Lepisosteus oculatus: one gene and its partner. The protein of the gene in region 2 purifies or fractionates together with the protein of the main gene of each other region. This does not show direct contact. Links are inferred from orthologs where the notes say so. Each region holds a gene or a part of one and is shown on either strand. Other genes may lie near its edges.

The links.
Region 1: the proteins of arhgap12b (region 2) and asap1b purify together in Homo sapiens (co-immunoprecipitation; 3 studies listed by BioGRID and IntAct, with this or other methods). This does not show direct contact. The link is inferred for Lepisosteus oculatus from reciprocal best matches to the Homo sapiens genes ARHGAP12 and ASAP1.

The regions. Positions count from the first base shown.
Region 1 is NC_090701.1:21,623,642-21,631,489, forward strand, and holds the start of asap1b (arf-GAP with SH3 domain, ANK repeat and PH domain-containing protein 1), read right to left. Parts: upstream 3,104-7,848; 5' UTR 2,815-3,103; intron 2,751-2,814; exon of another isoform or gene 2,687-2,750; intron 2,348-2,686; 5' UTR 2,320-2,347; coding exon 2,261-2,319; intron 1,474-2,260; exon of another isoform or gene 1,459-1,473; coding exon of another isoform or gene 1,433-1,458; intron 1,151-1,432; exon of another isoform or gene 867-1,150; intron 524-866; coding exon 397-523; intron 1-396. UniProt on the Homo sapiens protein: Possesses phosphatidylinositol 4,5-bisphosphate-dependent GTPase-activating protein activity for ARF1 (ADP ribosylation factor 1) and ARF5 and a lesser activity towards ARF6.
Region 2 is NC_090701.1:39,396,210-39,404,101, reverse strand, and holds the start of arhgap12b (rho GTPase-activating protein 12b), read right to left. Parts: upstream 3,129-7,892; 5' UTR 2,907-3,128; intron 2,145-2,906; exon of another isoform or gene 1,299-2,144; intron 1-1,298. UniProt on the Homo sapiens protein: GTPase activator for the Rho-type GTPases by converting them to an inactive GDP-bound state.

The DNA of each region.
Region 1 (7,848 bases), about 18 Mb from region 2:
TTCTATACCTTTTCCCTTAATGACACACACCGTTGAATGAGTTAATACAAAATGAATTGTGTCCAAATACAATGTTACGTGCCTGAATTGTTAGTAACAATTGTTTATAAACAAGGGTCTCAAGCAGTTGCACTGAAATGCATCGGTTTGTGAGCATTAAAAAGCAAGCAGATCTATGGTGCTGGTGTTTGGCATTCATTTTCTGGGGGGAAATGATCGCAACCGTGCATTGCAATTTACGTATATGAAAATACTGTTCTGTAGGTACCGTTTTAAAATGGCACGCTTTCATCAGTTAAGTATATAGCGACTGCCAGTGTAGCTTGCACCACTCATTTTTAACGAATCGTATTATTTGGAAGCCCCGCCGCCCAGCGATGTGATTCTCTCCCCTACCTCTTCCAGCACGTTGACGGTATTCCGGCAGCTCTGCAGGCGGGTGGTAAAGCTGGACGTGGTCGGGGAATTATAATCCTCCGTAGTCTCCGAGAGAAACTCGGACACCGAAATCTGATCCGGCATCCTTCAGCAAGGAAACGCGAAAAGGGGATATGGGGGGAAAAAACGGAAAACCTAAATCATTAAAGAGCAAACTTGCCAAGGAGAGGAAATGTGTGTCTTTTTACTACAATATCAGAAACAAAAAAGCTGCAAAAATAAGAACAGATGCCTTGTTTGAAATTATGCAATTAGCCGATTTCAGTCCCCTTGGTTACAGGGGATTCCAAGTAATTTCCCCCTTCTCCCCTCCAGTCTTTTCCGTAACCTCTGCTTCTATTGCAACACTGTCCACAACAGTTTTAATTATTTTCTTTGCTTCCACCAACACAAGCTGTAAATCGGAGCATAACAGATGTCCTCATTACGTTTTCCGCAAATGTAGGTGTTTGCGCCTGCAATTCCACTTATTGGGTAGATCCAGCAGCTGTAACGGTCTGTTTTGAGATTTTCTTTTCCCCCTTTTCTCTTCCCACTATTTTTTTTTCTTCCTGACGATCTCTGCTCTCTGACACTCACTCACTCACACACACATACATACACGCACTCTTTCTCTCTCTCTCTTCCTTTCACCCACCCACCGCGAACCTCAGGGACAAACAAGGAAGAACTCTGCGCATGCCTAAATATCACAAACAATACAGCCGCCCTGAAAAGCTAGACATCTGTAGCCGTCCAGGCCAGAACCGGTCCTTAGAATTGCACGCATTTTCAAAATGCTTTGAATCCCGTCTTCGTCGTTGAAATCTCCATTGCATACTACGATGCAAATTTAGTGATGGCCCTGCGTTGTTTACAGTACAAAAAAATAAATTGAAAAAGGACAATAAGGGTGGAGCATGCCCCCTTCAAAAAGCACAGGCTACCGCTACGACGTTATATTTCTAACCGTACTAGCCCAGAAGGTGCTTTATCTCCGACTACTAAAACCCACCCGCCTTCGCTTTCGTTCGGGCTCATCGTTGAGAAACACGCCAGGGTCTAACCCTCTGCTGTGCAGAAAAACCGCAGTGCCCCATATATCCCTACAAGTAATACTGATTTATTGCTATTTTTGGAGGCCCGCATGGGGGATTATACATTTACAGTATTATACTATGGTAATGCATTGCATTCCGTGAGCATTAAGTGTTGCATTAAAATAAAACAATTTAATATGGGAATTATCACGTTGTGTCGTAACATACTGTTTCTCTTACAAAGTGTAATTTCCTTTCAACTTCACATTTAAGCATTTTTTTTCCAAACAGACAAGGGTGGTGACAAACAAATTCTACGGATAAAGCAGCGCAGGCGAACAGTTAAACACGAGTTACTAAGTATCCCTGTGTGTCTACTTCTGTCGACGTAACACTTTTCATTCTGTGATATCGTGCCCCGACCCTCTGTCAAACTCGGTGGGCGCAATGATGCACTAGCGCAGCCTACAGGCGATCTGTAGCAGAGAATGTGCAACAACTGTAATTGAGCAGCTGAAGTGTTAAAGCCACGGTTCCAACGATCTGTTGAAAATATACCATTGCTGAAAAATATTGAGTCAAATTTACAAATACTCTGTTACGGTCTGTTACAGCGTGCACTCTGATTTAATTAACTTGAGCTCACGGCCTGTGCACCTTTAGCATTTTAAATGTGTTATGCCGGGCTTTCGAGTATAAGTTGTTTCAATTCGCAAAAGGCGAAAGAAAAATAAGCACAAAAAAAGACATTAACCAGAATGTAAGCAAAATGTGTGCAATAAATTATGTTAATCCTCTCTTACCGGTTCCATAGAGAATCTTTTGATGAAAAACTCGATAATCGGGATGATGAGGACCGCATGACTTTACAGTCACCTTAACAAAATTACCTGAATAAAATAAACGAAAGTCACTTGAGATACCATTAAATATATGCTTTTTGTTCTCATATACGCACAACGAACACTGAAAACTGCCCAACAGTTTTAATAATCGTCTGGAAATAGTTAAATCCTAAAAAAAGTTCTATTAATTAAAAAATATATTTAGAATATAATTTGTTAAGCATATGTACTATCATGATCAGAATAACTGTTAGCCAAATACGTCTTAATGCCCATCACACAAAGGGAGGGACAGTAGCAGAGATAACGGTAATAATGTTCACATGGCGATATGATAATGAACAAGGCAAGAAAAAAACAGGGCGTTAAAAAAGGCTCTAGTACCTCAGCAAAAAAGTTTTCGGTGGGCACGTTCCCATCTAAACGAGATGACCACAATGCATCTAGATGTATGGAAAATAAATATTTGAACAATGTAACAACAGCCACGCCTAATTTAATCACTAACTTACCAAGACTGCTGCAATTCCAATCACAACCCTTACTTTGTACGGCAAATCGAAAGCCAGTAGTTCCTGCAAAGAAGACAAAATATCTCCAAATGCCATCATATTTCGTTCATTTTGTACATGTAACTTAATCCAGCGACAGGAAAGATTGTATCCATTTACTGCAGAAAGGGTTCGAATAAAGAGCAGCGATTTGTCTTCATGTGGGTCCCGAGAATAGATCAGCAGCCACGCAGGGGCAGGAAGGAAAATCTACCATGTGAGCATGGTTACATGGCCAGTTACAATGGACAGGATCTGGGAGCTAACAGCACAGGAACTCAGGAAATCCAAAACTCTTCAACAGGAAATCTGAGATCCCTGTAAACACACTCTATGGAGTGATGCAGTATTTCCTCGGCGTTTATTGGCATTTAGCTCCGGTTTAAATGTTAAGATGTCGGAGTATTGGAACATTATCCGGGAATTTTAAATAAATCAGGCTACTCACTGTGTGCGTTTTGTACGCATATTTTGTAGTCATTTCGGAAAACGACTGTAAAAAACGTCAAAATGTAATAATTATCGTGAGGAGTATTAATATTACTCGAGTGTCATACAGTATAAGCTCATAAAATGTTTTGTGAAGATGCACGTAAAAGACCCATCAGTAAAAAAAAAGGCAACATAGTATTTCAAAAACTAAATTAAATATGTGTTTTATAATCTTGTAAAAAACGCATTTGTATTATCCCGTTTTCTGTGAAATCTTAATGGCTGGTTTCAGATGCATTTTGTCCGGATTGGATATTTCTGTTTTTTAGCGATTGCTACTTCTGGGTACCCCAATGCCATGGGAAGGTGTTCAAGGTTCTTCCGCTTCACCACCCACATCGGATGCCATTGTCACAGCTTGGCTTCAAAGTGGGTGTGAATAGGGTCTAGCTCGACGGATTTTCCTTGGTGTCACTGAACGTGCCTTCTGCCTCTGCACATGTGGAACATAGCCCGTGACTGCTTGTACCAGTTTAATGGTTTCAGGACTTCCGACCTTTTACCAAGCTAGGTAAATGTACAGTAGGAACACCGCCTGGCCTCTGGTCTGTCTTTCTTTTACCCCAACACTTTAAAACGTGAAAATGAAACATGGACATGAAATGTTATTCTTACAGGTACTGTACGTGCAGTAGAGCATACTGTATCTGTCATGAACAGACTTTCATAGTTCAGGTTTATTTGAAGACGATTGAGCAGGGAGCTACATCAACACGCATAGGCTGCAAAGGAACAGGCAAAGATTAATCCCATGCTGAAAGGTAAAGAAAAGCCGCTCAACGTTTCGACTGTGGAGCCTTCTCCAGGTGTGAGGAAGAGTGGGGAAGTAGCAAATAAATAAGGAATAGGAGAACAAAAGAACGGAGTACGTGAGAAGGGGCAGGGAACAGTGAGGAAATCGGCATAAAGCAGGTGATTTGGGATTTGTATTGCTCTTCACAACACAGAGCTTTATGGGATGCATTCGCCATTCACCAGTACTCTCTGTACTTTCCATTTCCTTTAATGACCTCCTGCACATGTTGGCATGACAGGAATATCCTTAAGGACACGTTATCAGTGCGTGGCCTTTATGTAGCCAGAGATCCTCCTGTTGTTTGTCAGTTGAAGCTTACATAACCTCATAACCTAGCCATTGAGAAGCACAAAGCAAGTCTAATGCATGTTTTGCAAGGTTAAACTTATTCTATGTAACAGATTTGATAAGGCTGTGAATGAAATCGCTTTTGTTGAACATATAATTAAATCAGAAGCACCTTAAGAGCTGGAAATTGTTGCTAATAGTTCCAATTAATACAATAATTAGTTCAATTGTTTCCTTATAAGCTGACCTTATAACCTCCAGATACAGCAGCTTTTTTTTGGTCTGGACATGGATACCCCAAGTCTACTTGTTTGTAGGACCTAACGCAAAGCTTTTAAATCAGAGAGGTTTTGTAATGCTAAAAATAGAGGAAATAATTAGAATATTTTTACTGTTCATCCATACAATATCAATAAGCCACATACAAGCACATAGACAATTTAGATGTTTTGTCTAAATTAACCTGGCCATTATTTCTTCGTAAGGTCAGAAGAAACCCCACCAAAAACCTACATGATCAAAAGGAGAACATCCTAACTCCACACAGAAGGTGACCCGGTCAAGAATCGAACCCAGGATGTGAGAGCTTTGAGGCAGAAGTGTTAATCATCACTGTGATTAAATTGTTATAAAATCTATCTTCAAAATTTTTTTTAGAAATACATTCACCCTGTCACCCCAAAATAATTTCCATTTCAATATTACTGAAAGAAACAATTTTATAATTATAAAAAATAAACAATAATGTTTTCAGGTGTGTAATTCCACAAGCCTGTATACAGTACTCTATGATACATCTCTAGATGTTTCATTAATCAACAACTACAGAAATAAAGCAAATTCAGAAGCATGATATATTATGTTTTTTCCTTTTATTGTTAAGGATAATACTTATTAGTATTTTGCACGAGTATTTGCTGTTTTGCTCAACGGAAACTATCATGATATCCTGCACAATTTATTATATCCTGCCCAGACTGGCTGAAATACAGCCAATAATATCATTACACTGTAAGTGTATTTACTTATTCTGACTGATTGAAAATCTTATAGCCGTGAAAGTAAAGGAGACAAGCAAGAAATAATGCACCTATACTCATTGTATAATTTTTGTAACATAAATGTTTTGAAAGGACAACTTTTCCTGATTGTGAAAGTCTGTATGTTTGAAATCCTTTTTCTGTACAGCAGCATAGTTGAATTAGTCACCATTATGTTGTAGATTGGCTAATTAATCCCCCAGATATTAGACAAATTTCAAGTATGCCCACACCCTTCAATCAGGTAGTGAAACTCCTATCTACAGACATAGCACTAATGCCTGTCACATCCGTAAATGTGTACAAGCTGGCCATCTTCAGCTTATCCCAGGTTCCTGAATATCTTACTCAGCATTTCTGTACCACACCATACATTGATAAAGGGTTTCAGACAGACAAAAGACAGATTCAGCAATTCTGTGGAATTTTGTTACACTTCCTAGTCACAACTGTTAGATCTTCGAATGAAATATCTTTTTTAAACATGTTGTACAGCAGATTGTTTCACTTAAACATTTACTGTGATCAAGTTTCTACTTTGAAGACAGATATTGGAAGATAATAGCGATATTTTTTCTTCCGAACTTTTGAAACTGCACAGACAGACAGATTAGCAAGTTCATACTAGTCAGATTTACCAGAATAGACAAACCATTGAATGTGTGACCAGAACTGTGTCAACCAGGATGGTAGGCTGGCCTGCACGCTCAGAAACCCTTTTGAACGTCGCCTTTTGAACTACTGAATCTATCAAATTGGACTTTACAGGTTTCATCAACATCCAAAGCTTTTTATCATTTGTAACTAAGATGTTGTTACAGTACTTTTTTATGCCTGCAAGAAATCACACACTATTTTGAAAAACATGACCCATCATGCAAACTACTCTTGCTCAAAATCTGTTTGGGCAATTAACTCTAAATTGTACATCTCTAGCTTCAACAGGATGAATGTATAAACCATAATGCCAGTCTGACTATCTTTTTCTTTGTACTCATGCTAATGCTGTTTAAAAACCTCTTGGGCAATTAAATCTGAGAGTGGTAAGTGCCATTCTAGTGAGAATACCATTAACAGTTGACTGTTACTGTCATCCTTGGATATACTGTACCACATACCATACACAAGTACCATTTTGTTCTTGAAACTCTGTGTCTGTTTTGTGAACTGCTACACTGATTGGATTAAAACCTGGTAGATTTCATGAGCATCAAAAGCCGCGTCTGTCATGCATAGCTGTGATATGTTCTCAAAATTCAAATTGTCATAATTTAAGGAGCCATTACACACTGATTGACTTGAAACAGCAGGTTTCATCACACCTAGATATTGCTTCCTAATTGTGCCTCATTGATTGTAATGGTACTTTATATACACCGCACATGTAATCAAGCGATTTGCAAAATACACCCCAAAACATTATTTATTCTTTGCCAAATCTGTTTGGTTTGGTCATTTAACTCCAACTTTTAAATATACAGAAGCAACAATGCAATTATAGTATAATGAAACAGGATTTCTGTACTACCCAGGTGACAGCCTGACTGCCATTTTTGTTTTCTTGTTAATACACATCCTATACTACAAACTGCTCCTTTGAAAAAACTGTTAAACTACTTAACTGCAAACTTAGCAGTTAGTATCAAAAGTATCATTCCAGTGGCAATCTGATGGACATTTGTCAAAGTGGGGCTCCTGAATCACTATTATTATCAAGCTTCGAACTACTGCTGTTGAAAAAGCACTCTTAAAGTATGCTTCAGGTTTATCACCCTAAAACCGGGTTCAGACTTGCTTCTCACATGTTGTAGGTAAGGGACGCTTTTCACATCCACAGCAGACAGCGGGCATCCAAACCTGACAGTGTTATTTTAATTTCCCTCTGGGTTTTCTCCCAGTTCACTCACACTTTTAAAGTTAGTCAATAAGGATTCGCCTGGAAGCTTTCAAAAATGCTTAACATTTTCTAGATTTATGTATGCAATCACCAATTATTATTTTTATACTGTTCCAGTTAGGCATAGCCTAACTTTACCAGTTCAGGCATCACAACATTCCTGGATGGGTAAAGACCAAGCTTTTAAAATGGCACCAATTCATTGGCACCTACTGTAGTAGACCCACAGCCATCCAGGGTAGCTGGACACTTCAAGAGAGAAATGTTGCAGTTTTCAGTAGCAACATTACAGGGCCCCAAGCAGTCAGGCATGTATCAAGGCCAGGTCAAAACCACACAATCCTGGCAATTGCATGATTTTGCATGGGGATTCCTAGTCATGGAATTGTCCAGATGTACACATTCATAATATATATGCAATATACATACTGTATGTGTTCTACCAAAAAGATGACATTGATATTTTCAGGAATAACCCAGAT
Region 2 (7,892 bases):
TAATTAATTAATGGAACAACAGTTGCTAGAACAGAGATGAATTTGGTTATCTACTATGTGCTCCTTCCAATGAATCGAGAAAGAGTACTCATGAATTTGATCAGATTGTGAAAATGGCAGGAAAAACAATGGGCCCAGATCAGCAATTTACTCGATAATAGAGTTCTTAGAATGGCAAGGCAACATCACAGCTGAATCCAAGTACCCACTCCATTTTCAATTTGTAAGGCACCCACCAGGGAGAACTACAGGATACCAAATTCAAATACAAACATGTATAAGATGTCCCTTGTCTCCTCTGCAGTAAAACTGCTCTCTAAATGTATGTAAATGTAGTCCCCCGACTACCAATTTATCCATCCCTTTATTGATGCAGTACAGACGGCTTTTGTGATTACATGTACTTTATGTGACTTTCACGTTAAACGCGTGTGTTTTGCACTTTTTTTTGCACAAAGACAAATTTACACAGTCGTGGACAATAAAGTATCTAGTAATAGGTTTATTCCATGCTGAAAAGAGAAGAAAACACAACGTTTCGGCCGTAGAGCCTTCTCTTTTCAGCGTGGAATAAACCTATTACTTGTTCCTTTGCAGCCTACGCATGCTGATGCAGCTACCCACCTGAATAAAGTATCTATCAGACCACAGTCACCCAACCACTGCCAAACAAAAGCTGTAAAAGATTGAAGGTGGCGTAATCTGTCATCTGCAGTGAATAAGATGACCTTGCTCAGAAACTGCACTAAAAATACAGCATTTTCACCTTCAAGCCAGATTCATGTCCCACGCATCCTATCTCAACACTGAATGGCCTACTTTTGCCGGATTTAGATCAGACGTGCCCAGGTGTATTCTTTTCTCCTGTTGAATTTTACTCCGACACTCCCCGCCAGAGTCTCCAAACTCGCTGGCCAACCGGCCGCTGCTTTCACGAAACGGCATCCTTGCAAAAAAACTTTAAAGGGAACAGGGCTTTGCGCCGCATAGTGCGAAAGTTGGAGGGGGAGGGACAGAGCAACCTCTTCCTGAAATGAGACAGGTAGGAAGAGTGAACGCCTTTTAAAGGCCAGGAAAGAAAATATCCTTCAAAACAGCTCGACTACCGGTGAACAAAACAAAAGACCAACACCCAACATGAAGGGTTTTATAACCACGTTCTTTAAAAAAAAAAATCCGAAACACGACGACCGGCAAAACGAATTCTTTAGTGAAACGCGGGTTTGTAAAGAAAATCGTCCTCACGGCTGAAATGGGCGGGAGGGAGGAAGGGCATTTGTCGGTGGCTTCTTACCTACCTACACCTCGGGCTTGTAGGGACGTGTCGCCAGCCGACTCAGCACTCGCGTCCGGCTCCCTGGAATGTCTCCCGGCTGCTCGCACCGGGGGCACCGACTGGCCCAGACAGAGCAGCGCAGCGCCCCGGCACCGGAGCCGCGTCCCGCATCAGGCAGATCCCCGGCGGGGCTGCGCGGCAGCTGCCGCCGGGCGCGGGGCTCTTGCTGGCGGGCTTAAAGAGAGCACCGTCCGGGGCTGCTCGGCTTCCGATGGACACAACTCCTCGCGTAGTCGCAGTAAAACGCGGTACTCGGCCGGTTCACGACAGCCCGCTGCGTCCAAGACGGTACCGCAGGAGTCCGGCTGCACACGCACACGCACACACGGGGAGCTCGACGGATTTACTCCCCACCAGGCTGACCTTACTGTACTTCAGCTCTTCGCAATACCAGACTGAGACAAGTCAGAATGCCACAGCAGTTACGGCGGTGTTGCCTTTGTGAGATAAAAATCTAATCTCCACCTCTCTCCTCAGGAGCGACGAGTTTGTGTATCCAGCCTTAAACCCACAACGCGCTGAAACCACAGAAATCTTAGTCGTAGTCACGACGTATGTATCAGTTTATTTCCTAAAGCAGGCGAAAACAGGTGGTTTGCGCTTTTTAAGAAAATCCTTGCTTTTAGAAACCCGACATCTCGACTTAAGTAGAACAACAATGCAGTTTAGGTTGGTGGCTGTGGCTACTACATCAAACGACGGCAAAACCACACACAACCAGAGGACCCAATTCGCTTATCTGCTCCCCATCCGCTGCTCTGCGTGAAAGTACTCCCTCCCCAAACGGGCCAGTGTGGAGGGGGGCGTCTTTGGGGCCCACCGAGTTGTAAACCACGTTTGTGAACCCTTAACAAGATCGGAGCATGCTCGCGTCTCCCGGGGCATTCCTTAAATAACGTGGCGTTGTACCTGAAAGACCATATCCTGCCCCCGCGATTTAATCGGATCTGCAAATGAACACATTCGGCACCGCTCGCTCGGTTCCCGATTTGTTTTTCACCAAAACATACAATAAAACAAGTTTTTTTGCCCTCCTTGGAAATCTCCCCCCCCCCTCCGTTGAAACTGCTCCTACAACATGCAGCGTTTACGCCGCCTTACCAAACACGGTTTCCTTGCGATCTCCATTAGATACGCGGTCCCACAAGTGTCACTTTGATACAGATGCTTAATAAATACGGAAAGGCCATGAGGTCCTAGCTGCTAGGAGGTGAAAGAAACGCACCGCACTTGAATCAAAACCGCAAGGCACGGCTTTCTAATGAGATTAGTCAACTCCGCGCTGTAGCACTTGAAACAGTAAAAACACCGAGACAAAAGGGAGACAAACACCCCACACTAAATACAAACTACACGTGTAGGTGCCCATAATGGTCAGCAAATTGCCGTGGTGACCGTCCTAAGGCGTTTTTTTTCCAGCCGGATCTGCCAGACAGAACAGGTTCTTTTTCATTTCGGCAGAGAAACATGGGGGCTCAAGTATCGTGTCCCGTAGCGAGTTTCAGTAGCCGCTACCGACCCTCAGTCACTTTGGTTCGCCCCGGCAAACAACAACGCATCTTTTACTAACCTGCTACTTTTCTTTCCGCCCCTCGGCGTCCCCGGTTCTCAAAGCCCAGCGGTCCCTGTCAGTAAATAAACTTCTCTCTTTCCGCCCGGTTTCCTAGTCCGCAGTCCGCACAGGTCGCAGGCGCGCCGCGCGTCTTCCCCGGCAGGAGCGCCCTCTCCCTCCGCCCCGTTTCCACTCGCCTGACGCGCACACGCTCCGCTCGCTCCCGCCTCGCCGGCCGCCCAGCTCCGCCGCCGGACGGTATCGCTTCGCCCTGCAGCTTGAGTTACCTTAATGGCTGGTGCACGGGGCAGGCTGTCCTGGGGACTGGCACCATCTTGTGGTTTGTCTGAATTACATTAAACGCTGGACGGCTCGATGTAGTTGGGTTTTTTTTTTTATTTGCTGACCTCTCCTTGGTGAACGTATGTCAAAATATGTGGTGAGCCGATACATATGCCAGTGGCATATTTGCCTTCCCACGGCAAAATAGGTATTTGTTTTTTTTTAAAACGGGAAAATAAGTTATGAAACTGGAAAAGTTTTGTTTTCCCCAGCCTTCTGAAGGTTTTAATGCAACTTACGCAACAAGACTTTTTTTAATGATAAGCTACACCGTTTTCAACGTACAACGCAGTCAGGCACGTCTACAGTTAAATTGGACTGTTAGCACCAACGAAAGCATTTTCAGTACCTTCACGGATCGGGGCTGTCCAGTCCCTGTCTTGAGGGCTTTAGTGTCTGCTGTTCATGTAGGTGTCTTTAAGGGCCCGATGAGCTGGGAAGCGCTGGTAATGAAGAGCTGAGCCGAAATTAAAAACTGCACGTTCTCATGACCCGGACTGGACAGCCCTGACCTGTCAATGGGAGGATACCAGTCCACTGCAGAGCGTGCCCACAAGGCTCAGTTTACCTCCTAGACAACATGTCTTCCTACACTCATTCAAAACCCCTACGGAACTGCAGGTGTCTCTGATTTCTGCTCTTCTTTATGAATGTACTGCATGGGTAGGAGACGATGAGCTTGCTTTGATTACTTTAAAAGGGTATTGTTTAAATAATATTAAAAATAAGGGGCACTCGTTTATCGTACTGTTTGAAACGATGCATTATACGGAAATACCGTACAGTGAGAGAGACTGCCATCTTCCGAGTCCACACGCATTTTCGGGTGACATTTCTTTTGAGATGCAGTGAAAGAGCGCGTCGCCTTCCGCCACATTCTCCAAAATTCTGCTCGGGAATAGTTGAGGCTTCTCGACCTGAACCATCGACGCAAATAGTTGCAGTTCTGTCAAGGGAAAATGTTAATAAATCCAAACAAATTCAAGAGACCTTCTTTCAGAAGTCTTTGGATTCCCTGCCAGCCGTGCTTAGAGGAGACAGATGGCTGGTGCTGCCGAGACTGGATAATAGATCCATATTATTGCCTCGATTATGTGGTCTCTGGCACATTTTTTAGTTTTTTTCAATGGATTATGCAGACAGCAAACTGTCCCAGTGGTCTGTATGACACAGAAAGCAGTATAGAACAGAACCCCTCCAAAAGCTGTAATGACCAATTTAGCTTTTTAAAAAAATACTAGGAGAACCTTACTATATAACTCTTAAACATCTGACTTTGGAGAATACATTTAGTTAATTTTGGAGGTCAATTGTATTATGCCAAGATTTTAAAATGTGTTCCACTAATTGTGCAATTAAAGAGATGTAAATCACAAATTGTCATTAAGATGCCTTTTGTGGACAAGAAAACAAAATTGTTATTGCTTTTAAATTATATTTTTAAAGGAAACTCAATATGCATTCAGGTGTACTTTTTCCCAATGTAATTATTGAAAGCATTTTTAATTGGAGTCAAATGAAAAGAAATCTAGTCTAAGTCAATTGGAGCAGAATGGTATGCAAATGACCTGTTGACACCTCTTATTTTTATTAGTGCCTTTAAAAACCAATAACTGTCCAAATGAACTCTCATGATTTCAGATGAAATCATTTTTTTATCCCACCTTGTAAAGATTGTTTCATTAATTTATAATGAAACAGTAGCAAGTAAATGTGCGACTAAGCTTAAACGTCATTAGTGTGCAGTTGTTGTGATACAAGGCCTTGACAAAGTTAACCCAATGGGTTTATTCAGGATCAAAACATGAACCAGAACATGCAATTGAAAACCAGGGGAAAACACATTCCACACTGAGAACAGGAGGCACTTATTTAGCGAGATTTAGACACCAGCCTTTCAATAACTGTCAGCCAATAGCTACCTTAGTATTATTGGCAAATGTTCTACAGCAGGCTGTCGCAGTTCAGTGAAAATCTCACGCATCTGCACGTGAGCTGTTTGGTAAGCCTGGCTTTAGGTCAATGCGTAGTAAAGAAGCAGCTTATTAGCGATACTCGTGAACTGCTGATGAGCGTTGCTTCTTTTTTTGTGTGTTCGTGTTCCGGACCTTAGTTCCCACGGCCGGCAGAGGAATCCTACTCTGTTGGGCTCATAAGCAAGGCCCTGAACCCCAACTGCTCCAGGGGTGCTGTATATAAATGGCTGACCCTGCCCTCTGACCCCAAGCTTCTCCCCCTGTCTGTGTGTCTCATGGAGAGCAAGTTGGGGTATGCGAAAAGAAATCCCTAATGCAAGAAATAGTATATAGCATGCCACCTGTTCTTGGTCCACTACAGTAAACGGTCTTTATTACACTATGTGTCCCTGTAATCTCGGCTGGTCACGCACCTTTTAAGCACAAAAAGCACATTCGTACAAAAAATATTTCCCTGTCATTTTATAATAATGTATGGAAATTAATAATTTTATACTAGGGATCTGGGTCCTGCCACATTGTACGCTTCTGAAAGGTCAGCAAATACATATTTTCAATTTTGACTTCCCTTTACTGTATAAAGTAATACGTACTTGATTAATCTAGCCAAATATATATAGACCATAGTACATTAGATAGTAATCACAAACTATGTGTGGTTTAACTTAAAAGTGACTTTGGGTAAAGCTAAGCATTGCATTTCTCAAGATCATCAGCACAAGCAAATTTAATTTACTTTTTAAAAAACATGCTGTTGAGTTTAAATGGTGCATGGGTATAGTGGGTACAATCATCCAATAAGTTACCATTGGGTCAGATTCTTCATAGGTATGGAATCATCTGTCATTCTCAGCTGATGACCCCCAGATGTTACAATAAAATGTTATTCAAGCACTGTATGATATTTGTTGCTTAGATACTGTTAAAAACACATGCGACAAAATCTTTCATGTCTGGGCTCTTACAAGACTGGATTTATGATGATTGACTTTCCTTATCAACTCCACAAATGTGTCAGGCTTCGTTAAACTATTGATGGTCTTGGAATCTGTCGAAGTATGGTACGGAGGCCAGGAAACGTAGTGTCATTTTTGACTTGAGCTTTACATTTTAAGTACAATGCTGAATATGTGTATTTGTCTTTGGAATACTGAACATATCACAACTGAAGATGACTCCACAGCCGAAACATTGTGTCTCTTTTCGTCTCTTTTTGGCACGGAATAAAACCTTTACTAGTTCCTTTGAACACATCAATGCACGTCTCTCCCAATTCAATGCTAACAGAGAATGCTAATGCGTGCTTTTGACTTTTCAAGGCTTGATTGTTGGAATGCAGTACTTGCTGGTGTATCAAATCATGTTCTGAGCAAGTTGCAGCACGTTCACAACTCCACTGCTCGGATCCCAATCCAAACGAAAATCCACGGTCATGTGTCATCTGTTTCCACTTCCTCCCACAGGCTCCCTGCGGATTTCAGAATAAAATTCAAAGAACTGCCGTGCAGCGTTAAGGGCAGGTTGGCTCCTGAAAACATCACTGGACTTTTAACTCTCTGTTATATTCCATGTTTGCTTTCTGTGGACTCTGGCCTCCCTTGGGTTCCTAAAGTGAACTTCCACACACTGGTTGATGGACTTTGGAAGGATCTCCTGGCCTGTATGAGGTCTTGCACTTTTAAGTCCCATGTTGAAGCTCACTTTTATACTCTAGTTTGTAATTCTACTTAATTTACTTGGATATTATAGTACAGCGCCAAAAAACATTGTTTAAGAAAAAACTGGATGAAAACCTTGGATCCATTTGCTACTTCAAACCACCAAGCACAGGATGGACTGAATTGTCTCCTTTCACTTTTTTTCTGTCACTTTTTTAAACTCGGTTTTCAATTTTGCTGGAGATTCTATTGATGAGCAGACAGGTTGAAACCAACACTGGTCAGAGGAAAACATGATCAAAAAGTATGGCCCACATAGCTATTTTAGGTGTACTGAATTTGGCGTTTAGATTTCTTTCAGTAAGCTAAAGTGTTTGGATATCATAACAGTGTGTAAAAAGTATTGTTTCCAGTGGTCCTTGTTAAAAGCGTTATGAAATGTACTATTCACACTGTTAAATTGTTCAGATTGTGGCATCATTTTTGAAGGTACAAACCTCACATCATTGACTTACGTCGTACAAGTGAAGCAGCTGGCATACAAAAATCACACCTTGAAACTCCCTCAATGAACTATTCAAAGGCGATCCCGTCATTTCCCGCTCCAAACCACGTTTTCAGATGTTTCGTCATAAAGGGTGTGGCCGACAGCATGTCATGGGCGAAATCCACCGAACGCATCAATTTGAATCTCTGCCTTCGTAATACATTGATCTGATTGTGCTGAGGCTTGATCAGAAATGAATCTATGAATTGGCTTCATTACTCTGCTCTCCTCCCCACTGATAGCTGGTGTGTGCTGTGAGTGTTCTGGCACACTAGGGCTGCTGTCGCATCATCCATGTGGGGCTGCACACTGGTGGTGGTGGAGGGGAGTCCCCATTACCTGTAAAGCGCTTTGAGTGGAGTGTCCAGAAAAGCGCTATATAAGTGTAAGCAATTATTATTAATTATTGATGCTACACAACAGCGTTTTTTTTTCCTTGAAGACGGCACAATCAGACGAGAGAAAGAGCTCCACCTTCTGG